5 linked regions of the Cricetulus griseus genome follow. The protein of the gene in region 5 purifies or fractionates together with the protein of the main gene of each other region. This does not show direct contact. Links are inferred from orthologs where the notes say so. Each region holds a gene or a part of one and is shown on either strand. Other genes may lie near its edges.

The links. Proteins that work in one complex are often made in the same cells at the same time.
Region 1: the proteins of Sin3a (region 5) and Sap30l purify together in Homo sapiens (affinity purification with western blotting; 4 studies listed by BioGRID and IntAct, with this or other methods). This does not show direct contact. The link is inferred for Cricetulus griseus from reciprocal best matches to the Homo sapiens genes SIN3A and SAP30L.
Region 2: the proteins of Sin3a (region 5) and Chd4 purify together in Homo sapiens (affinity purification with mass spectrometry; 3 studies listed by BioGRID, with this or other methods). This does not show direct contact. The link is inferred for Cricetulus griseus from reciprocal best matches to the Homo sapiens genes SIN3A and CHD4.
Region 3: the proteins of Sin3a (region 5) and Mta2 purify together in Homo sapiens (affinity purification with mass spectrometry; 4 studies listed by BioGRID, with this or other methods). This does not show direct contact. The link is inferred for Cricetulus griseus from reciprocal best matches to the Homo sapiens genes SIN3A and MTA2.
Region 4: the proteins of Sin3a (region 5) and Nr0b2 purify together in Homo sapiens (affinity purification with western blotting; 3 studies listed by BioGRID). This does not show direct contact. The link is inferred for Cricetulus griseus from reciprocal best matches to the Homo sapiens genes SIN3A and NR0B2.

The regions. Positions count from the first base shown.
Region 1 is NC_048600.1:71,857,923-71,862,509, reverse strand, and holds the start of Sap30l (histone deacetylase complex subunit SAP30L), read right to left. Parts: upstream 2,985-4,587; 5' UTR 2,761-2,984; coding exon 2,563-2,760; intron 1-2,562.
Region 2 is NC_048601.1:21,330,873-21,335,729, forward strand, and holds the start of Chd4 (chromodomain-helicase-DNA-binding protein 4), read right to left. Parts: upstream 2,985-4,857; 5' UTR 2,831-2,984; intron 2,794-2,830; exon of another isoform or gene 2,771-2,793; intron 1,998-2,770; 5' UTR 1,919-1,997; coding exon 1,819-1,918; intron 1-1,818. UniProt on the Homo sapiens protein: ATP-dependent chromatin-remodeling factor that binds and distorts nucleosomal DNA. Acts as a component of the histone deacetylase NuRD complex which participates in the remodeling of chromatin.
Region 3 is NC_048596.1:51,151,864-51,156,741, forward strand, and holds the start of Mta2 (metastasis-associated protein MTA2), read right to left. Parts: upstream 2,985-4,878; 5' UTR 2,532-2,984; coding exon 2,504-2,531; intron 2,231-2,503; exon of another isoform or gene 2,178-2,230; intron 1,014-2,177; coding exon 946-1,013; intron 509-945; coding exon 415-508; intron 1-414. Other genes in the region: Eml3 (echinoderm microtubule-associated protein-like 3), read right to left, coding at 3,563-3,766, 3,852-3,982, 4,229-4,327. UniProt on the Homo sapiens protein: May function as a transcriptional coregulator. Acts as a component of the histone deacetylase NuRD complex which participates in the remodeling of chromatin.
Region 4 is NC_048595.1:19,710,277-19,714,915, forward strand, and holds Nr0b2 (nuclear receptor subfamily 0 group B member 2), read right to left. Parts: upstream 2,985-4,639; coding exon 2,444-2,984; intron 724-2,443; coding exon 482-723; 3' UTR 220-481; downstream 1-219. UniProt on the Homo sapiens protein: Transcriptional regulator that acts as a negative regulator of receptor-dependent signaling pathways. Specifically inhibits transactivation of the nuclear receptor with which it interacts.
Region 5 is NC_048597.1:168,627,222-168,631,306, reverse strand, and holds part of Sin3a (paired amphipathic helix protein Sin3a), read right to left. Parts: intron 2,486-4,085; coding exon 2,367-2,485; intron 1,728-2,366; coding exon 1,517-1,727; intron 504-1,516; coding exon 387-503; intron 1-386. UniProt on the Homo sapiens protein: Acts as a transcriptional repressor. Corepressor for REST. Interacts with MXI1 to repress MYC responsive genes and antagonize MYC oncogenic activities. Also interacts with MXD1-MAX heterodimers to repress transcription by tethering SIN3A to DNA.

The DNA.
Region 1 (4,587 bases), on a different chromosome or scaffold from region 5:
AAAAACTGTTTATTCAGACGATTATCAGTTTCATGTGAGTCATGTTTTAGTTTGTTTTAGTGAGTCATGAGTCATTTGGAATTTATATTGTGATGCTGTCTTGCACACAGCAGGCGCTCAATAAGTGCTGATGCACCAATATAGGCACTCTCATACCTGAAAACAGTTTATGCTGGTGAGAGTCACCTCTTACACGGCTACAAACTGGGATGGCTTTGCCAGATTCCACTTTGGCAACAAACTTTCAGATGTAAGTATGTGCCACTGTCCTAAAGAGTAACACTCAGGTGATACAAGACTACAGAACATGTATCCCTGTCCCACCCCTGGCAGCTGGCACTTGGGTTGGTAATATTGGCATGTGCCTCTTGAGAGAGCAAGCTGCTTCTCTCATGTGTAGTGCTAAACAGAGAGCAGCAGAATGAGGTGTTTCTAAATCTTAGATGGAAGATGTCAGACCCAAGGTCCTCCCACCAAGCTTTGGTAAATGTCCCCTTTCTCCTGCTACATTTCCTTCATACTATTCCCAACTTCAGCCACTCTGCAAAAGCAAAGGAGAAACATGCCCACTGCAAGTTGGTTACACATTACAGAGGCTGCCAGTGTCCGACCTGAAGGGTTGTGGTATCTTATTTTAAAAGGGTGCCCACTAGATCCTTTTAGGAGACAGCCTTTCTCTGTCCTTAACCATGTTCAGCAACTTCAGGGCTCAGAGGCCTCTGTGGGTGGGGTGGGGGCATGGGGGTGGGGCAAAGGCTCAGTGTGTGGTTGTCTTTCTTTCCCTCTCTTTTCACTTGCTACAACAGCTAAAACTGATTGTAACACAGTAGTAACTTGGGATTGGATTCCTGCCCAAGTCTGTGGGATGAAACAAAAACTCTTCCCACCAGCACCTTGAAATGGACTGGAACTGTTTCCAACCACACACCTTACCAAGCGCAGCCTTTGGGAGACCAGATGATCTGTGTGATGCTCAACACTGCTCCACAGGGGTTTCCCATGGGCTGAGTGGGTAAATGGAGTCCCTACTGCCACAACAAAACCATCCAGATGTGAGACTACTTATCGAAATACTGCCAGCAGTCCACAGAAAAGTCAGGCACTGTTTCCAAGTGAATAAATTCTTTACCATTCTAGAATTCCCTTTTCACTCCCACATGTGATTATCAGGGGACACCTTACTGTCTAGCCGGTTTTTGCTTCAGAATAATTCATTCATTCCTCATTAATTTATCAATAGATATTTGTAAAAAAAAAAGTCCCAATCATAAAAAAAAAAGCACTGTTCAAAAAGAACCAGACTATACTGGCTGACTAAATAAAACTGAGTGTGCAAGAGAAGAGTCTAGAAGAAAAGATGTTGACCTTATTTATTAAAGGCAAATGGAACTTGGGTGTAGGGCTTGGAAGCAAGCCAGATAATTGGTCTAGGAAATTAGCCAGCGCCTAAGTGCAGTGTGCATTTGCATCATCGCTTCCTACCCCAGCCTCAGTTTCTGCCACATCATTAGCATAAAACAGGCTCCCTTTTCAGGTAACAGGCAATATCTGAGTGCCCTAACCCAGTGGTTCTCAACCTGTGGGTCGCGATTCCCCCCCCCCGGTCATATATCATATATTTACATTACGATTTATAATAGTAGCAAAATTACAGTTATGGAGTAGCAAAGAAGTAATCTAATGGTTGAGGGTCACCACAACATGAGAAACTGTATTAAAATGTCACACCATTAGGTAGGTTGAGAACTACTGTCCTAAACGTGGGTCATTAATCATTCAAGTTCCCTGAATATTAAAAGTTCCTTAACCCAGTCCCAATTCTTAATCTGGAAGCTGCCACTCAAGGCTTGCAGCAACAGATGTCAGACTAAAAAGTTCGTAACTGGTTGGCAGTAAGCACATAACCGTTAACAAGAGCAGGTGAAATCACTCAGGAAGTTTCCTATAATTAGCCACAAGGCGCAGGGCAATCCCATTCAATTTTAAATGTCCGCCTCCGTCTGCATTACCAAATATGTTACCCATCAAGAAAACTGATTCCCCGCCTCCCTCCAATCACATCCACTGCAAGAGTCATCTAAGACCTGGCCTTGGCCTTATTTCTGCTACATCTCAGAAAAATTCATTCGCTGCCAGCGAAGCGGGCTGTGCTGCGCTGCAGACACAGAGGCCGCGGGAGACAGGAAAGTCGCGGCCACCTTGCTAGTGTCTGAAAGAACGACAACGTCCCTGAAGGGAGGACGAAGTTGGAGAAGAACCTCCGGGTCCCCTCGTCAACTCTTATCCCCAAATTCTTGCAAAAGTAGCCCACCTCTCTCTGTTCTACTATCCGGCGCAACAGTGACAGCTGGAAACTGCTGTCACTTTCCCAGGCAGGGAGAGTGTGCAGAGCCCTCCTCGGCCCCCCAGCCCACCCTCTGGGATGCGGGCAGCGTCGCGGAGCACAGAGCGGCCTCCACGATCCTGAGTCTCCTGTTCTGCACAGACCGCGCGGCGAGGCCCAGCGCACCGAGCGTCCCCGGGGTCCCTGCCCGCGGCCCTGCGCTGATCCCCGAGACTCACGCTCTTGTCGATGTCCAGCTTGAGTTTCTTCTGCGAGATGCTCTTCTGCACCCTTTTGCTGAAGGAGGCGTTGCCCGCGGGCCGGACGCAGCGCTCGCCGTCCGCGATGAGGCAGCAGCTCTGGCCGTAGCCCGGGGCGGCGGCGGGGGTGGCAGGGGGCCCTTCGCGGCTGTCCTCTTCGGTGCTGAAGCCGTTCATCTCCCCGCCCCGGCCCGGCCCCTCCGGGGGAGGGCCCCTGTAGGCCACTCCGCCGCTGTGAGCCCCGCGGGGCAGCTCTCCGTCAGCCCCGCGCCCGAGTCCCACGGTGCGCCCCGGGTCAGACGCGCTCTGAGCTCCGCGAGGCCCGGCTGCTCTGTGCTCCTGCAGCCCGGGCCCCGCCGGGAATGCACACGCTGAGGCTCCGGCCCGGGCTCGCGAGCCTCCCCCGGGATCCGGGCCCGGCCGCCCTGGGGCTCCCGAGGCCCGCCGGCTCCCGCCTGCTCTGCAAAGTCTCCACCCCGCGGCTCCTCGCGCGGGGCCCGGCCTCGAACCTGCCGTGTCCGGGCCCCGCGGTGCTCACGGCCCGCCCCAGCGCCCTGCCGCTCGGCGGCGCCCCGAGTCCCCGCGGCAGCCCCTGGGCCGCCCCGGCCGCCGCCCGCCCGACGCGCCGCACCACAACAGTGCGCTCCCCCGCCCGCCGCGGCACAGCGGAAGTCCCGCCTCCATGCGCATATTGGCCGTATTCTCTGTATGGGCGGGGCCTTCGTCGCCGCTGGCGTTCCCCATTGGGCGCCGCCGCTGCCGGTCTCCGGTGCCAGGCTACTTCCTGGACTCTGCTGGGATGGGTTCAAAGTAGAGAAAGTGCAAGAGGGAAGAGTTACCCGGGCGAGGGAGGGGAACGGGCCGCAGGTTCAGTCCTAGCTGTGGTGTGGGTCTGGAAGAATGCAAGATCTTCTGGTCCCAGTTAGGATGGTGAGCAGGGTCCTCGCTCCGAGGAAGAATGCTGAGCGGGGTCTGGAAGAATGCAGGGTGTCCTGGGCCAGTGGAGGATGGTGAGCAAGGTCCTGGCTCTAGGGCGAGATGATGAGCTGGGTCAGAAGAGACGCGGGGTCCCTACTCCGGGGATGAATGCTGAACAGAATATGGAGGGACGCAGCGTCTCCACTCCGGGATGGGATGCTGAGCGGGGTGCCCATTGCGGGGACGAGATGCTGTACCAAGACAGGAGGGACACAGGGTCCCGTCGAGGGGCGGAAAGCTGAGCAGGTTCCTAGTTCCTGCGCAGAATGCTGAGGTGGATCCCGGAGCAAGGTGCCGGCCCCGGGACGGAATGCTAAGCTGAGTCTGGCAGGCCGCAGGGTCTGGTATACCGAGCAGGATGCTGAACGGGGTCTGCAGGAAGCAAGGTCAGAATTCAGCAGAGATCACGGTCGAGGTGGACTGAAGTATCGAAGACTGGATTGAAGAAGTATCGAAGACGTGCATGGGAGAACTAAGGGACCCGCATAGGGGAGGGGTATGTGAAAGGGGACCTTAGGGAGAAAGTCCTGACAGGAGAACACACTGGGTAAAACGGAAAGGCCTGGGCTGGAAGGCCTGCGCAGCAGCGGGAGGTAGAGTGCATGAGTGCATGACAAGGGACAGAAAGCCAGTGTGGAGGTACATTTGCGAATAAAGAGGGTGGAGAGACAACGGAGGTCTGACAGGAGAAGTAACAGTCTTTGCCCCCAGCCCCCCGTACACCGAGGAAGGAGGGGCTTAAAGAGGAAAATATGGGTTGGGGCAACCCTTCTCTGGCTTGTTCTGGATGTTTTGTAGGCTGAGGCAACAGAGAAAGGCCCTTAGGCCACCCACAGACGACTTTTTAGGGACTGATTTGTAGTTTTATTGCTTCAAGTCACTCGGGCCAACCAAGGAGGAGGCCACCTCATCCTTCCTGAAAATACACAGGGAATTTTCTGAGGGTCTGGTCATATAGCCAGTAGTGTTGTGTGGGGGTGTGGGGGAGGGGATGGGGTGGGTGTTAGGTGCCAGATAAGCTCTTAA
Region 2 (4,857 bases), on a different chromosome or scaffold from region 5:
CAGGAGACAGAAAGGAAGATTTGGGAAAGGGGCAAATTGGGTGTGTCATGTGGAAAAACTGGGTCAAGCTACACAGTGGGGCAGAGTTCACACTGAGAGACTGCATAGCTCACACTCAACTCGGGAGGAAAGCCCTAGACCAAAGGGATAATAGCCCAAAGGCTACGCTGAGGACCAACACTGGTGGGACAGCACTACTCATCCTGCCCCTCACAAAGAATATGAAGGAAAGTAAGCCTTCTTCCTTACCACCACCCCATAAAGGCACAGGAATCTGCAGCCTTACACCTCAGTGATGAGATGCAAATCTAAGTCCCTTATCCCAGTGGCCAAAGGTAACAGCTCTCTTAAATGGCCTGGGACTGTGAAGTAAATAATTTCAAATCAGAAAATGTCACATTTGCTGAGCAGTGGTAGCACACGTCTTTAATCCCAATACTCATGAGGCAGGTTCATCTCTGTGAGTTGGAGGATAGCCTAATCTACAGAGTGAGTTCCAGGACAGCCAGGGCTACAAAGAGAAGCCCTGTCTCAAGAAAAAAGAAAAGAAAAAGGCAAATTTAATTTAAAAAGCATTTCTTTGGGCTACCTCAAAATCCAGTTGGATCTAAGGAAAAGGCAGAAGTGAAAACCATGTCATAAAAAACAAAAACAGGCCTGGCCATGGTGGTGGACACCATTTAATCCCAGCACTCAGGAGGCAGAGGCAATTGTATCTCTGTGAGTTCGAGGCCAGGCTGGTCTACAAAGCAGATGCCAGGACAGCCAGGGCTGTTACATAGAAAAACCACAAAAACAAAAACAAAAAAATCAAGACCACCAGACTCCAGAATGGTAGGGAAGGACTTGCTTTTTTTAATTTAAATTTAAAATTTTTTTAAGTGAACAGGGAGTCAATAAACCAATAGGTGTCTCAACTACGGGGCTCTGAATAAGGAGACAAGAGAAGAAATCCACTTATAAGCATGACATCAACCATCACTTGAGAACAGGCACTTGGGCAAGCTGGTTATAACTTTACGGGTTTGGCCAGTCCAAGGAGCCACCCCAAAACACCGATAGTGCAAACCCTAACACACCCACACAAACACCTCACACCACTAACCCAGACCCCAAACTACTTCGGAGTGGCCGAAGCCTCTAGGAAGGAAGCCAGGATTATGTCCACTCCGGGGGAAAAGGAGTCCCCTTCCTTCACTCTGCCTCTCCTTACTCGGGTACTGCATCCTCCTAGTCCCCCCATCCCTTCCTCACTCAAAAAAATCCCAATAATCTGCCTAGCTAAAAGTTCTCTAGATCCGACAAGGAGCGAGATTCAAACTTCGCACTCCTGAAACTGCGCAGAAAACCGGTAACTGATTACAAGCTAAAAATAATCGGACAGAGAGCAACCAACCAACACTCCCACTTTCTTTTCCCGAGAACAACTGCGGGATCCCAAATGCCTGGCAGGGCTCCTACAACAGAAATCTCAACGCTCCCCACCGTGTCACCAGTCTCCAGGAGTCCCAGCCACCTGCATTCCTAAGAACCTGCACAAGGTAAATGCCTGCTAGCCCAGAGAGCTCCCTCAACTGGGAACTGCGGAGTATTCCAGACAGCCTTGAGTACAGCCAGCTTACATCTGGGTCCGCGGTGGCCAGGAGGCGCATGGCTCCCCCCTCCCAAGACACAAGAGCTCCGCAGAAGAGAACCACTCCCTTCGGATGCCCTCCGCCCTGGGCTCTGCAGGCAGGAGACAAGCGCACACCCAGCCTCACTCCAGTCTCCAGGAAAGATCAAACACTTCCTGCCCTGGGCGCTCTGGGAAGACGTTACCTGGATGGGGTGGGGGCAGGCTGTTGTTCAGAAGTGCATCCATATCCTCCTCCTCACTGCCCGCTGAGCAGGGGGACGGGGAGCCCAGGCCCGACGCCATCCCCTTCCGCTCCCCGGCCAGGGAATTGGCCCAGCTGCTCCTGCCTGCGGCCTGGGGCCCTCTACACTGGCCCGAGTCACTGTGCGGGGGAGGGGGGAGAACAGTGAGTGACGCGCAGTCCCCCTCCCCCACTCGCTCTTTCCGCCCCCCCCTCCCCGGCCCTGCCACCCCAGCCGAGCACCCGAAGCACTCAGGCTGAACTTAGTTCCACACTCCTCGGGGACCGCCCGCCCGCGAGCCGGCTCCCCGGCAGGAGCCCCCACGAAGAGGGAGCGATGCCCCCGAGGTCAGGCTGGTGCACGGTGGGGTGGGGACTCGCTGGGCGAGAGTGAACCGGGGGAGCCTGAGGAGGGGGTCCGAGTGGCGGGCGAGGCGCGGAGGGGTCAGGGAGGCGGCCGGTGCTCGGGGACACAAGGTCACTTGGGAGTGGGGGGGGCGCCTCTCTGAGCCCGGGGAGGGGCCAGTCCCCAGACAGGGCAGCTCTCCAAAGGCTGTCCCTCTGGGACAACTCGGGTTCTCTTCCGGAACGGCGGGGACCAGGGGGCGTGGAGGCTCGGGCGCTCCAGGGTCCCGAGGAGTCGGGACGCCGGCGGAGACGAGCTCCCACCGAGAAGGGGGCCGGGCCACGTGTCCCGGGGGGCCAGCGAGCAAAGGGCGAGGGGCGGGCGCCCGGCATTGTGGGAGGCCGAGCCCCGGAGAGGGGCGCGGGGAGCACGACTCCCTCAGGGCAGGGCGACGGCCTGGGGGCAACCCGGACGCCTCAGGGGAGGAGGAACAGGGTCGGCTCCCCGGCCCGGGAACGGCCCGCCGGCCCCGGGACGCCTGAGGAGGAAGGGACAGGTGAAGCGATACCCCTCAAGATGATGTCGGGCTGTGAGAGACGTCTCTCCCGGAGCCTCGCGCTCCCCTCACCCTAGAGCCGCCTCAGGTCGCGCTGGGTCTCGCCGGTGTCACTCCCGCTCCGGCTCCTCCTCACCGCGGCCGAAGGGGGGAAAATGGCTCCGGCTCCGGCGTCGCCTCTTAAAGGGCCCGAAACACCGGCCGGGAAATCCCACCGCACAGGCCCCGCCCCCCCACGGACAGCCCATAATAACCTCAACCAACTCCAACCCCCCCTCCACTACCGCCACCCTCCTCCCTAGGTCTCCCGGGCAACCCCCGCCCCCTCGTCGCTCAGGCAACCATTGGCCACGCCCCCGTCGAGCGCGCGCGCGCGTCACCCGGGCAACCGCCCACCTCCTGGCCATCCCATAATACACACGGACACCCCACATACACACACCCCGCCCCCAACACTCCATGCATATATGTGCCCGGGGGCTACTGACATATACTGCAGACCTTTACAAACTAAACCTGCTCCCCACCTCAGATATCCCATAATAACCACTCTTTGCCAACTTCTTCACTCTTGGCTCTACTGCTAACATCCCATAATAACTCGTTACCCCTCCCTCCCCTTGGCCATCCCATAATAAGCACCCCTCCCATCACTTCAGCCTCATATCCCATAATACTCAACCCCATCCCCCACTGACATCCCATAATAACCACCCTTCATCCACCCCCAGTTTGATATCCCATGATTGTCAGAAACTCACCCACCCCACACTACAACGGACACTCGGCCTCCTCCCACACACATCCCGTAATAATCAGTCTCCCACTTTCTACACTGATATCCCATAATAGCCAACCCCCTAGAGCTGCCCTCAGTCCCCGCACACCAGGGTGTTCAGGGTGTTCTAGATGTTCACATCACCACCCCCAGCCTTCCTGGTCTTTCTAGCTCCAAGGCCCATAAATTACGTTCCTCCCTATCAAAGAGATACTCACTAATGACCAGCAGCAGCTCTACTGTCACCCCACAAATGGACAGACGTCTAAATCTCCTGTCCCCTAACACTGGGGCAATGTCCCATCATTTACTCCATCTATTTGGACAGCCCATGACACCATAATACGGCCAACACAACCGAGTGCCACGTCCAGTAATACTTGTGCTGCACTCCACCACCTCACACAGGTCTTCTGGCCGGACATCCCATAATAGTCACAACCTCCCCCATCTCTAGAAGCTGTCAGTCTCTTCCAAACACCCAAGAGCAGAGAGGGTGTGGCAAACTACTAACTGCCCTGTCCCCGCCCCCATTAGCACACACCTTATTCCCTTTCTGCCCGAAAGGAGTAAGTACTCTGGTCAGAAGCCTCTCAATGTTCAGGACCTTGGGCTCCCTAGCTCACCGTTTCCAGACACTCAGGAACAGAGAGCCAACCTACAGCCCCATCCAATCCAATCAAAATCCAGGTATATCCCAGATGCTTACCTCCCACTCTGAAAGTTTGTGTAAAACCAAACAAATAATATATTACTAGATGAAAAACTTGCATGAACTTTAACTGACCCAGAACATCCCATACTAATTATAAACCCCCATCCAAAAACTATTTCTCAACATTCCAGCAGTCCTCTCCACTGCCTCTCTCAAGTCCAGGCCGCCCCTATGGCTATCCCATCATCACCACATGAACTGAAGACCCCCTGTAATGCCTTGCTCGCTGGCTCTCTGCTCCCCTTTACTCGTGTTCATTACACATCCCTTTGACAGAGAACCTAGCAAGGTACAGAGAGCTGGCACAAAAACTAAGAAGGCAAAGAAAGAAAGATACAGGTGCCTTCCCACAAGAAACATAAACAGCTGGGAATGGTGCCATATGCCTGTAATCCCAGCACTCAGAAGGCAAGATGATCAAGAGTTTAAGGCCATCCTTTGCTACTTAGTGAATTCAAGGCCAGCCTGGGCTTCAGTAGAATCAAGTCTCAAATAAATAAACATTATTATCAGCACCCATGCTCTAACCAACCAGGCTAACAGGGCACCAATAAATAATTTTAAAAGAAGAAGTAAACCACCAAAGAAACCATGATATAATATAAA
Region 3 (4,878 bases), on a different chromosome or scaffold from region 5:
TACTATGCAGGATTCTCAAAACAGTATCTTCCTCTCCACCTTGACCATCGCTCACTAACCACTGTCCCAAAGTACCCAAAATGTCCCCACGTGCCTTCTCTAAAGCTCTTTTCATTCCCTATCTAAGTATCTCTCCTTACACACACACACACACACACACACACACACACACACACACACACACACACACACACACACACACCACATTCTGGCTTTTCTGATCATGGTCTCCCCACCCGGCTTCCAGCCCCAGCCCCAACATGTAACAACAGGCCTTGCTCTGCAGACCAGGCACTTCCCACCTCCAAACTCATACCCTGCCTTGGGCGTGTTACCAGGGGAAACACCTGCAGGAACAAGTCTAGTCCTCAGATCCTGGGGAGGGGGGAAAGGGGAAGGAATGAAGACACTCACTAGCATTACTGTCAGCCAGGCTGTTGAGGCTACTAGAAATATCCCTTCTCCTGAAGAGACAGACAACCTTTGCTTCCACATTGCCATTGGCAGTCTAAAGAAGGAAGAAAAACAGGGCAATGAAAATTAGCCATTTGAAAGTGGAGGTACACTAACAGGCACTCTCTAAGGACTTAAGTAGAAGAGGCCAAAAACTCAGCAATGAAGACTTAATATTCAAAGATAATTACAGGACCAATGAGATGGGTCTCCATAAGTTTGCTAACCTGATCACACAGAAAGTTCCAGGCAACCAAGGCTGCAAAATAGACACTGTATATTTAAAAAAACAAAAAAAAAACAACAGAGACAGGATTCTTTTATCCCCAGATGTGAGAATGATAAAGCTTCAGCTAAGCTCTCAGCAGCTCTATACATGGAATGAACGCTCGCTCACCTGTATAGGCTCTAAGCCTAGGTAAGGCTGGCTCTCCCTTCCACTTGGAGTTAGACTCCAGAAGAAAGAAACTGCTCCATTTCTGCTCCACTCACCTTGTTTAGCTCCTCAATCCGTCTAACCAGGTAAGGATTGCTAGAGGAGTTCTCAAAATAGACGTAATCTGTAGAAGGGGGTGGGGAGAAACAAGATCAGAAGAAAACCAGAGCACCCAGAAGAGAAAGTGGATTTGGGTGGACCAAAAAAAGACAAAATGCTAGGTAGAGATGTGGAGATGTGCAAGAGGAAAGACTTAAGAAAAGAAGTATAGCTGGGTGTTGGTGATGCACGCCTTTAATCCCAGCAGAAGCAGGTGGATCTCTGTGAGTTCGAGACCAGCCTGGTCTACAAAAGCGAGTTCCAGGATAGGCTCCAAAGCTACACAGAGAAAAACCTGTCTCGAAAAACCAAAAAAAAAAAAAAAAAAAAGAAAAGAAAATAGGTATTAGAGAAGGTGGTGGCGCATGCATTTAACCCCAGCACTCAGGAGGCAGAGGCAGGTGGTTCCCTGTTGAGTTTGAGACCAGCCTGGTCTACAGAGTTAGTTCCAGGACAGCCTCCAAAGCCGCAGAGAAACTCTGTCTCGAACCCCACCCCCCATCCCCCCACCCCCGCAAAAGAAAAGTATTAGTTGGGCAGTGGTGGCCAACAGCACTCAGGAAGCCGAGGTAAGCAGATCTCTTCCAGTTCGAGGACAGCCTGGTCTATAGAGCAATTTCCAGGACAGCCAAGGATAGACAGAGAAAGCCTGTCTCGAGAAAACAAAAGAAAATAAGTATCAACCGTCTCGAGGAAAAAAAAAAAAAAAAGAACGAGAAAAGAAATAAAAGAATTATCCAGACAGTGATTGCTCACACCTTTAATCCCAGCAGAGGGAGGCAGAGGCAGGTGGATCTGAGTCCGATGCCAACCTGGTCTATTTCCTGAGTTCTAAGACAGCCGGGGGGGGGGGGCGGGGGGGGAGGGAGAAAAGTTTTTACTCCCACCCTTGCAACACTTAGCGCTAAAATCAGATTCTCACTCAAAAGTCAGATCCTAGCACTCAAGAGGATCTCTGAGTTCGAAGCCAGCCTGGTCTACAGAGTGCGTTCCAGGACTGCCAGAGCTACAGAGAATCCCTGTCTCGAAAAACCAAAGAGACAGACAGACAGAGTCGAAAAACCAAGAAGTGAGAGAGGAGGGGGAAAAAGATAACAAGGATTTCCCTGTAGTCCACACAACTCTGCATTGGAGTTGCACCCCTGCGTGGGAGAATTGAGTAAATTGTTCCCCCCACCTCAGGCCTCACCTTCGTGAACGAACAAGCCGCCAAAGAAAAGAAAACCCCTGAGCGACTGGCTCCCCGCAGCTGGCCCCGCAGTCACTCAGTCCCCTTCCAAACCAAGCCTACTTCCCACCCCGGGATCCAGTCGCAGACTCAAGAGCACCGATCGTTGTAGGTAAGCCTCTGCGGGAGACTCGGCTCCCAGTAGCGTCGCCGCCGCGGAACCATAGGTCTCGGTTCCGGTTCCGGTCGGCGCTGTGGCCCCTACGACCCCAGATGTTGCTCCCCGCGCCTGCGGACACCGAGTCTCCCTGGTCCCGTCCCCAACCTCTTCCGCCCGGTGTACTCACCTCCCACACGGTACATGTTAGCCGCCATGGCCGTTCCCGCCGCGGCCTCCGGCCGCACAAAGAGGACCCGGAGGCTCGCGGGGGTAAAGCTTAGCTCCAGACGATGCCCCCAGCGTGGGGCTGACGCTTCGCGGAAGTGTCGATGGGGCCCGCGCAGCCGGCACCTCTGCTCGCTCAGCCGTCGCGGTTCATCACTGCTCGCACGAAGACCACGACGACACTGCTATAGCCTCACGCCCGGGATACCCAGGCCGGCGCCGGTCTGCTCGGCTTCTTCCGGAACGAGCTCGGTTCCTGCCTGACCGGAGACAGATTCCGGCTCCTAGCGTCTTCACCGAGTCCCAGCAGACGCCGTATGGTGCCAGCCCCTGAGAAGGTTTGCCCTGCCCGCGTCCGGGTTCGCCTCCTTCCGGAACACCTTCGGCCGATCCGGAGAACAAGGCCCAGCGCTCGGCTCAGGTCGGAGAGCAAGACCCCGCAGATCGGCCACTTCCGGAAGGAACTCGGCTCTTTTCGCTCAGCCGCGGCCCCGCGCTCGGTTATTTCCGTTGCAGCTCGACCCCGCCCCCGAGGGCGGCAGGGAGCCGCATTTAACTCTTTACTCTATGTGTCCCTGCAGCTCCGACAGTGGCCTCGCAAGGCGCGCGCGCACCCTCGCGCTTCTTGAGGTTATTTGCAAGCCGCTTTGCCTGTTATTTGCATATTTGGTCCGAGCTCCTTTTTTCCCTTCCCGCCCTGCACTTTTTTCTTTCATCCCAACCCTACCGGGCCCCTGAGGCAACCGCCGCACTCCACAAAAGCACCAAGCGGTGACTTTCTTTCTTTTTATTGCCCCTCACCAGGCAAAGGGAGTCAGAGCTGGGGTTGCCTGGTTCAGCCAGCGAGTCGTTATCGTGTGTGCAATGGGGCGGTTCGCCCCTCCAGGAAAATGCGCAACTGGGAATGTACTGAAATCAAAGAAAAAGCCAGCCCAGGAAAAGGGCTGCACTTGGTCCTAGGGGTTTTGGCCAGGGCGGGGCAAGGCCACAGTACCAGAGGGACAAAACCATCCAGCATTCATCACACGTCCAGGGAGGAGGCAGGGGACAGAGAGGGAGTTCTAGAAGGCGTGACAGGAGAGGGCCCAGAGCCCCCAGCGCCCAACACTCGCCACTGAAAGATACTGGCGTCCTTGCCACCTAGGGAGACGAGGTATGAGTCGTCATGCGTGAACCGGACGCTAGTCACGTGACTGCCGTGGCCTGAGTACATACGGCTTGGCGCCTGCACCAGAAAAAAATGTACAGTCACAGCAGTGATAGGGTCCCAAGACTACCCACTGGGGCCCAACGGTCCTCTAAAGACTCACCTTGGCTCGAGCGCACGGATACTGGAAAAGGTGTACTTTGCAGAAGTCGTCTGCTACAGCCACCACACGTTCATTGTGGGAGCGGCAAAGGGAGTTGATGTCTGTCCCATCAGAGCCATCAGGCCACACACCTAACACAACAGGTAGCCTCAGCCAGGGCACTTTCCACAACCTAGAGCTGCAGTGCTTAGGATTTCCAGGCTACCTCCAGACAATCCTCTCCATTCCCAAAGGGACCTGTTGGCCTGGATTTGCCTCTCCCCCCCCCCCCGCCATGACACATGACACACACCCAACATTCTGATCCAAGAATGGGTTCCACCTTCTTTTCCCAGCCCTGCTAAAGGGCTCGGCTGCATGCTGGCTTCACTACTTACCATACACGTGGAAGCCTAGCACACAGGTGTAGGTAGCCCACTCCCGGTCTCTGCTCTCATAGCGATTCCTTAGAAGCTTGCAGCCTCCAGCCACGTCCCCTAGGTAGAAATTGCCCCAACCAGCTCAGCTGGGAAGGTGACCTGATCCATTATGAACCTCACTATGTGATTTCTGAGTTCTCACTGTAGTTTGATTTCGTTTGACTTTAAGACAATCTAAGTCCAGCCAGGATGGTTGTTACACACCTTTAGTCCCAGCACTCTGGAGATAGAGGCTCTGTGAGTTCAAGGCCAGCCTGGTCTACAAACCTAGTTCTAGGATAGCCAAGGGCCAAGACAAAGAAACCCAGTCTCAAAAAAAAAAAAAAAAGAAAGAAAGAAAGATAGTCTAAGCACACCCAGCATGATGGTGTATGCCTTTAATCCCAGCACTGGAATTAAAGGCCAGAGGCAGACAGATTTCTGAGTTTGGGTCCCCCCTGGTCTACAAAGCAAGTTCTAGGAAAGCCAGGGCAAAATTGAGGAAACCCTTTCTTGAAGAGAAAGAGCCTAGCCTAGTCATGCCTGGAACTCCCCACCCTCCTGCCTCAACCTCTGGATAAAGTTCTAACAGTTTCCAATCAGTTTTTCCTTCCTAAATAAGTTAGCCC
Region 4 (4,639 bases), on a different chromosome or scaffold from region 5:
GGAGAAGGGCAAGAAGGTGGCAGGTAGTAAGAGGATGCTTTCTGGTGGCTTCTCATTCAGTTGTAAAATAAACCTTGTCCCCAGCATTGAGGTCACTGTCCCTCTCTAGAACACTAAGGAGCTGGTTTCTGCTTACATTCCAGGAGTTCCATCTGGCAAGAGGAGCATGCACCCTGAAGAACGGCTTGCCCCTTCCATAGGCAACCGTGGTGTCAGCAGGTCATACCTTTTATTACAAAAATCAATAACTTAATTGAGTTCTATACAAAGTCAGGAGGAATTCTGGCCTGAAGTACAGCCTCATTCATGCTCCCATCTCTGTCCCTGGCCCAAAGACTTTGGGGGGCCACCAAGGACCTATTAGGCAGTTAGTATACTGTGTCCAAACCAAGGAAGTCCAAGCTGGGGGCATGGCTGAGGTGAGGGCTGCTCCTGGGGAGTTGAAGCTCCCCTTTGGAAGCCCTGGATTCCACTCTGCAGGTCACCTCAGCCAAAGCATGTCTTCCAGCAGTTCAGCGATGTCAACATCTCCGATGATAGGGCGGAAGAAGAGATCCACCAGAAGGCTGCATGAAATGTTCTTGAGAGTAGAGGCCATGAGGAGGATTCGGGCCAGGCGGCCTTGGCTAGCAGGGTACCAGGGCTCCAGGACTTCACACAAGGCCCAGTGAGCCTCCTGCTGCAGGTGGGAGATGTGGCAAGAGGCATGGAGGCCTGGCACATCTGTGGCAGAGAGGGTGAAGAGGGCTGGTGAGCAGCTGCTCCGTGGAGGCTAGCCCAGGGTGTGAGAATGTTAGTGGCTCCCCCCCTCATATGCCGGGGTGCAATGCAGGGCCTCGTGCATACTAGGGCATGCTTGGCAGGCATTCTACATTTGGGCTGAACATTGCTGGTTCCTTTAACATGCCAGGCGATAGTTGTACCACTGAACTACATTCCCAGCCCTTACAGATACAGAAGAGACCTAATTGTTTGGTGGTGTTAGGCAACAAACCCAGGACCTGTAGCTCGGGAGGTAATACTTTACTAATGAGTTCCACGCATTGGCCCACTCTGCCACCTTGGAGGTTTCAATCACCATCTCCTACATTTTATTCCATTTATGTGGAGATAAGGGCTGAGACATACGAGTTAGAGAGATGGCTCTGTGGTTAAGGGCACTTCCTGCTATGACTGAGGACCTGAGTCCGGTTCCCACCTACATTGTGGCTCACAACTGCCTATAATTCCAATTCCTGACACCCTCTTCCGGCTTCTGTGAGCTCCCACCAGATGATACACATACATACAGGTAGAAACTTACACACATAAAATAATATCTAAATAATTCTTTTCTTATTTTGTTTTTTGAGACAGATTTTCGAGGTGGTGACACACTTTTAATCCCTGTACTTGGGAGGCAGAGGCGGTTAGATCTCTGTGAATTCAAGACCAGCCTGGTCTACAGAGCTACTTCCAGGACAGTCAGAGCTGTTACATAGAGAAACTCTGTTTCAAAAAACAAAACAAAAAGCCAAAACCAAAAAAGAACCAGAGGCCGGTTGTTCGTGGCAGGCCTTTAATCCCAGCACTCGGGAGGCAGAGGCAGGCGGATCTCTGTGAGTTCGAGGCTGGCTGAATTTGAATCCCAGCACTGCCACTGTGAGCTCAGTGATCTTGGACAAGTAGTTTCATCTTTCTGAGTGACCTTAGATGAGTAGTTTAAATCTCTGTGCCTTAGTTTCTTCATCTATCTAGTGGGAACAATGACAATACTTGTTGCCCACTACTGCTGTGAGGTTTAACCAAATCACTATTTGTAAAACCCTTAGGCTAAGTCCTGACATATGGGAAATGCATGTGATTCTTTGGTACTGTTACTGCCGTTTGGCGTTACACTTTAACTTCCAAGGCCTGTCTCTTGTCTTCCTCAAAGTTACAAAGAATATTTTCCCATGCCAGGCATGGTGTTAGTTTGAGGTCAACTTGCTTTACGTAGTGAGTTCTAGGCCAGCCAGGGTTCCGTGGTAAAACCGCCTCATTTCTCCTCATCGCCCCTCACCCCACCCCATCTGCTCTCCACCCAAGAAGTGACCACTCCCCACCCTTCCATTCTTTCTGTGTGGCCGCTCTGAACCCACGGAGGACTTTAACCTTCAGAACTTCACTGTGCAGCCTGCCCTTGAAGAAGGCAGACACTGCACACGGCGGTGTCTGCCTTACCCACTCTACCCTTCCAGCACAGCGGCAAAGACCAATCTCTGCATTAGCTTGACTTGCATTCCCAGGCCTGTTCTGCCTCTGCCTTACTGTGTGGCCTTCAGGTAGTTGCTTAACCTCCCTGTCTCTCCTGGGAGATACCTGTTTGGAGCTAACAAGGACGCAAAGAGACAACGATTCTTTTCCTGGACGGGTCCTGTCCCCTCCCAGCGTGGCCCCCATCCAGGAGTGTCTGGGAGCTCACCTGGGTTGAAGAGGATGGTTCCTTTCAAGTAGGCATACTCCTTGGGACCCAGCTCAAGGCTCCAGAAAGACTCCAGACAACGCTGGAGCCACTGCACGGCAGCCAGTGAGGGCTGTGGCCGGTCGGGTAGCTGGGTACCCTGCGTACCACTGCTGGGTTCCTCCAGAAGGATTTTTTTAAGTATACTGGGCACTGGAGCCTCAGCTATCTCAAAGGTCACAGTATCTTGGGCCAGCCCAAGCAGGAAGAGAGGGCCCCAGCAGACCCCCAGCAGCCGTCGCTGATCCTCATGGGGCAGGTGGCAGAAGGACGGCAGGTTCCTGAGGAACGCTACTGTCTTGGCTAGGACATCCAAGGCCTCCCGGCAGGTGCGCTGTGGAGCACTCAGACGGACAGGCCGGTGCTGCTGGCAGAGGCAGTGGCTGCGAGATGCGGGTGCAATGGGCCTGGCCCTGAGGCTGGGGCTTAGAAGCGCGTACAGAATAGCAGGGCGGCCTGCAGAGCCCTGGCAGGGGCAGCCCCCAGACTGGCTGGAGTTCATGGTTGGTATCTCGCTCCTGTTTCTTCCCAGCTATCGGTCCTCTGTACTGTGAGTGCTATTTATATCCTCGATGGCGGGAGGGGGAATGGCCGTGGAACCTTGACTCCAGAAGTCATGTTCATTGAAAAAAAAAAAAAAGCCAACATACACACACAATGCACACATACACTGACCCTGGCAGGACCGGAGGGGGAGGGGCACTGGAGCTCCACGTGGCGTTGCTATCGCTTTAGTCAATGAAGTGGCCATTGCAGGGCACAGGGCCACCTGCCCACTGCCTGGATGCCCTTTATCGGATGACTCAGTGTATAAACAAGGTCATTAACCCAGGCTGTACCAGGGCACCAAGGTCTCAGGTGCTCAACCAGCCAGTGGCTGTGACTGCTGCTGTTTCGATTGGAGCCCACTTTCATGCACACAAGACCAGGGTTCTCACTGAGCCAAGGAGCCAGCCAGAGAAAGCCAGCTAAGGCCTTGAATGCCTGACCCAGCCTGGAAGTGCCTTATCGCTGCTGTGTTTGCCTAACCTTGGGGCTCTGCTCCTGTTGTCGGTAAGGAACAGGCTGCAGGGAAGGGAGCCAGGTCCCTGGGGGACTTTGCTCATTGTACAGTCTAGGAGGTACCCCCTCCTGTGACTCCAGTGCAGAGGCCCCGTTGGAGGAAGGCCATTCCAGAGCCCCCTGCTCCCATTCTGTGCTCCAATAGCTCCAGAGGGGCTGGGCCTGCTGGCCCTTGCAAAATTGTTACTTACAAGGCTGCCAGTTACTGAGGACCCACTCTATATGGATCACTTTCCCTTGTAATGTTGAGAACTTCCCAGAGAAGTGACCTGCTCAAAGTCACTCCAACCAGAAGGGACAGAGCACAGATATGTCTGACCTCGAAGTCATCCTTGTTTGCCCCTCCCCCCCCCCCAATCAACTGTGCAGCTGAAGTGTGAATTTCCCAGCACAGGTGGCTAGCAGCTACCCCCACTCCCAGCCCCCAGCCCCTGCCTGGTCTGCAGGTGTGGCCCACCTATGGTGCGACTGGAAACATCTCTGCTAACACGCCGCTTCTCTGCCCTGGATATTTGTCTTCAGTGGTTAGAGGCGAGGTATGAGGGAAATGGGAGGTCCTTGGCTGTGTCAGGTTCCTGACCTTTGGCTAGCCTTGCCTAGCAGGTTTGTTGTCGCCACACTCTTGGGCAACCTGGTGCTCCGGATGAGGAGCCCTGGCATCTGGTCTTGGCTCCATGATTCCCAGTCAGCTGCTCTCCAGGGTTCTGTGAGCCTTGGTGGAGACAATCAGGGCTCCTGTGGTATTGGGACTTGACAGAGCAAGGTTCTGTGTAGGCCAAGAAGCTGCCCCCACTCTATCCTTTAGACAGGCAGCCACACTGCTTTCACTGTAGTGCTGTCTACCTCAGCCCAGGCCTCCTTAGGAAAAGAATAAACAATCTGTATGGCAAGGAACGGTAACAGTGAAAAAGCAAACACAGATGGACTGACAGAACCCAGTGAGGTGGTCCTCGAGTGATCCCGGAGGTTACATTCAGGTCTCAATCTCTTTCCCAGAATTGACACCAGAAGGATGATGCTCCTTTTTTTTTTTTTTTTTTTTTTTTTTTTTTTTTAATTTCTTGGAAGATTTATTATGTATACAGTGTTCTGCCT
Region 5 (4,085 bases):
GATTCTTCTGAAGAGGAATGTTGTATGAGATCTCTCCCACTGATTTGAAGAAGCAGACCCAGTCAACACAGTGTAATGAACATACTAAGTCAAACACATATATGCAAAATACAATTGACTCCCTTTGGTGTGGTATTAGTAAACATCATCTGAATACTGGAGATGTTTGAGTCTAGTTTCAGAAATTCCCTTCCTGCAATAAGGGATATCTCTACCAGCTGATTCATTCATTCTAGATCTTCCCATCCCAGCCATCCCCTTTAAAATGTAACTCTTACAGGCACTAGGGCACTTTTTTTTTTAAGCTGCCTCACACAGAGTATTTAAATACCCCTTCATTTCACATCTTCCTTGTTCCCCAAACTTCAAATCACAAAGGAGGATACCTCAAATCGTTCATCTTCACAACGATAAATATGTTCTTCATACTGAGTCTTCTTGGAACTAACAAAAGTGGAATCTTCAGACCATGATGGGAAGGAAACCCAGGTATCATTTAAAACCTTTGGGTAGAAAAAGAGGCAGAAAAGCTTGTTAAAACTTACTGGTAATTAAACATTCTCAATAAAAAGACAATACTATAGAGAGGAAAAAATATTTGGTGTCCTGGTTAGTTTTTTTGTAGCTTGACACAAGCTAGAGTTAGTTGAAAGGAGGGAACCTCAATTGAGAAATTGCCTCCATAAGGTCAGACTATAAGATCGGAAAAATTTTTAAATTTTTCAATTTTTTTTAAAGATTTATTTATTTAATTACATGCCCTATCTGCACATACTCCTTTATGCCAGAAGAGGGCATCAGATCCCACTAGAGATAGTTGTGAGCCATCACATGGTTGCTGGGAATTGAACTAAGGACCTGTGGAAGAATAGCTAGGCCTCTTAACTGGGAATGGAGTGATGGGGAGGGGATTCCAAGTCATTGTGTATGGTTCCATGCTGGGTCCTGGGTTCCATAAGAAAGCAGGCTGAGCAAGCCAGTAAGCAGCACCCCTCTATGGCCTCTGCACCAGCTCCTGCCTCTAGGTTCCTGGCCTGCTTGAGTTCCTCTCCTGACTTCTTTCAGTGACGAACAATGATACAGAAGCATAAAATAGATGGTTTCCCAAGTTGCTTTGGTCATGCATGGTATTATATCAAGAACAATAGAAACCCAAACTAAAACAGTTCACAAAAGAATAGAGTAAGGGAAAGTTCTGAATACAAATTTTCTTTTGAAAAAAGGTTCATGATTTCACAATTCATATAAATCCTGGCCTTTCTTGTAAGACAGGGTTCACAGCAGATAAATAAGGGCACTTGCTATCAAACCTGACCACCTGAATTTGATCCTGGGAACCCAGATGGTAGGAGGAGAGAAGCAACTGACAAGTTGTCTCTGATCTCCACAAGCAGACCACATTTCATATACATATACACATATTAAAAATAAATGAAAACTTTAAAAAATTCTGGCCCTAGTACTATCTGTCAATACCCTGCTTTGAAGAAGCTGAAGATCCAAGGCTGACCCTTACCTCTTTACACAGAGGAGTCCGTCCTGTACACTTGGGCTGCTGGTAACTTTTTGGCAGGGCTCGGTAGCTAGAGCCCAGTCGTTTACAAGAGGCGTAGTCTATCTCCATTGCAATGCCTTCTGTAGCTCGTTCCTTTGGAAAGCTTTCTAGATGTACAGACTCCTTATATCCCAGAAAGTTTTTAAACCAGTTAAACAATTCAGGGAATTTCCTGAAGAACAAAACCAAAAGCTGGTAAGCAATTCAAGGCAGGATGCAGTTATTATGAGGAACAACATTACAGTTCATGGTGGGTCACAACTCTACTGCCAGAGTTAATAATTATTTTCTACCTGAGAAGCATCCTTTAACCAGTTAAGTTCCATTTTCCTTATGTAGTATTTTCCAACAAGACAGTAAGAAGCTAAGAAGCCATTGTTTAGAATATTGCCTCACTTTTCATATAATCCCCGGGATGGCAAATATAATCAAAATTCTAGAGCCCTGGAAGATCAGTGCCTATAAACATGTAGTGCTGGTCAGACAATCAAGAGACCATGAGTGCCGCATCACAGCTGATACACTGTTAACACTTTTTTTTTTTTTTTGAGGTGGGAGGTGTGGGGGGTGGTCCTCTCTGTAAGCCAGGTCATTCTGAATTCACCTGCCTCTGCCTCTATGGTGCTGGAATTAAAGGCATGTGCCACCAAGCCGAGCTCTACCTGTTTTCCCAACCTGAAAGTTATACTAGAAGACTTATAAGGCACCTTCTGACACTGTCATTTCTGACAACTACTCAATTACCTTTGTTTTACAATCTCTGCATTATCGTATCAGAAGTACTAGAAGCTGTGCTCCTCACTTCACTTACCCCAGAAAAGGAGAGACTAATTGTACAAGCTCAGCCCGAGAGATCACCTCCTGGTTAAATATAACAAGACAGCGCAGAAAGTTATCATACGCCTCTGCACTCCGAAGAGCCTTTCGGACCTTATGGAAACAATCAGAAGAAAAACGGTTACAAGGAGAGTCAGGGTCATCAATTTCTTTTTTTAATAGAGTAAATTTAATCTGATATTTACTAAGGAATTGCTGTTATTTTATTTAGACATGATCAAAGAAACCACCTTAAAAAGCAAAAAATGAGACAATGTAATCTGTCTCTAAACAATCTAAAATGAGTATGAATACATATGGAACAAACACATAGAACAGGCAACGGAACTACTGACACTTGATAAGAGCACAAAGGGTCGTTTTATTATCTCTTTAGTTTTACATGTGTTCAGAATTTTTTATAATTAAAATGTGAGACCATGCACTACACCTTCTCATATGCTTGCTACTTCAGACCAAGTCAATTACCTAAGCTTCTGTAGTCCATCTTAAGAGATACTGAAAGAAATTTTTCAATACTGTTTTAATAGTCTTGTTAATAAAACTTTTTGTATGTTGTTTTGTTTTAGGCATGATGTCATGTAGCAGAGACAAACCCTAAACGTGCTATATATAACCAAGGACAGCCTTTAAAATCTGGATCTTCTTCCTCCTAAATGCTTAGAATGTCAGCATTCTTAAGACAGAGGCAGCAGGCACCACACCAAGTTCAAGACCAATCTGCTCCTGAGACCAGCCTGAGATTCAACAAGGTCTTGCCTCAAAACACAAAAACAGGCTGATGGGTGTGGGGGGAGGGCAGAAAGATGGCTTAGTGGTTAAAAGTGCATCCCATTCTTGTAGAGGACCCAGGACTAGGTGGCAACAAACATGAGGTAATTCATAACCACACCTATATACTCATGGCATATGGGTGTTCATAAAGGCACACATATACACATCTAATAATTAAATCTTAAAAATGACAACAAAAACAGCCTGAGGATATGGCTCAAATGGCAAAGGGATTCTTTCTCAAGCAGAGGACCAGAGTTTGGACTCCCAGCACCGACATAAAATACTAGGCACAGGAATATAAAACTGTAATCCCAGCTCTCGAGAAGCAGAGACAGGAAGACCCCTGAAGCTTACAGACAAGTCAGTGTACCAATTTGTGAGCTCTAGGTTCAATGAGTCCTTCTCTCAAAAAAACAAGGCAGAGAAGCAACTGAAGATAATACCCAACACTAACCTCTGACCTCCACACATATATATGCTCAAGTGTTCTCTCTCTCTCTCTCTCTCTCTCTCTCTCTCTCTCTCTCTTCTCTCTCTCTCTCTCTCTCTCGTGCTCGCACACACACACACACAAACACACACGGGGGGGGGGGGGTTTGACAACACGGGACATTGAGAGATAGCTCAATGAATAAAACACTTGTCATGCAAGTCTAAGGAAAACGTTGGGACAAGTCAGACGTAGTGTAACATTTGTAATTCCAGCACACCTACTGGGATTGAGTTGGGAGGCAGAGATAGCAAATTCCCTCTACAAGCTCCAGGGCCAGATACCTTAAACTGTCAGTGGTGCTCAACAAAAGACCCTGCCTCAGGTAAGGTAAAATATTAGGACAGATATCTGTTTTGATGTGCACGTTCTAACATTCTCTCTCACACAACCTCCCACACACACACTTACAGCACTGAAAACTAA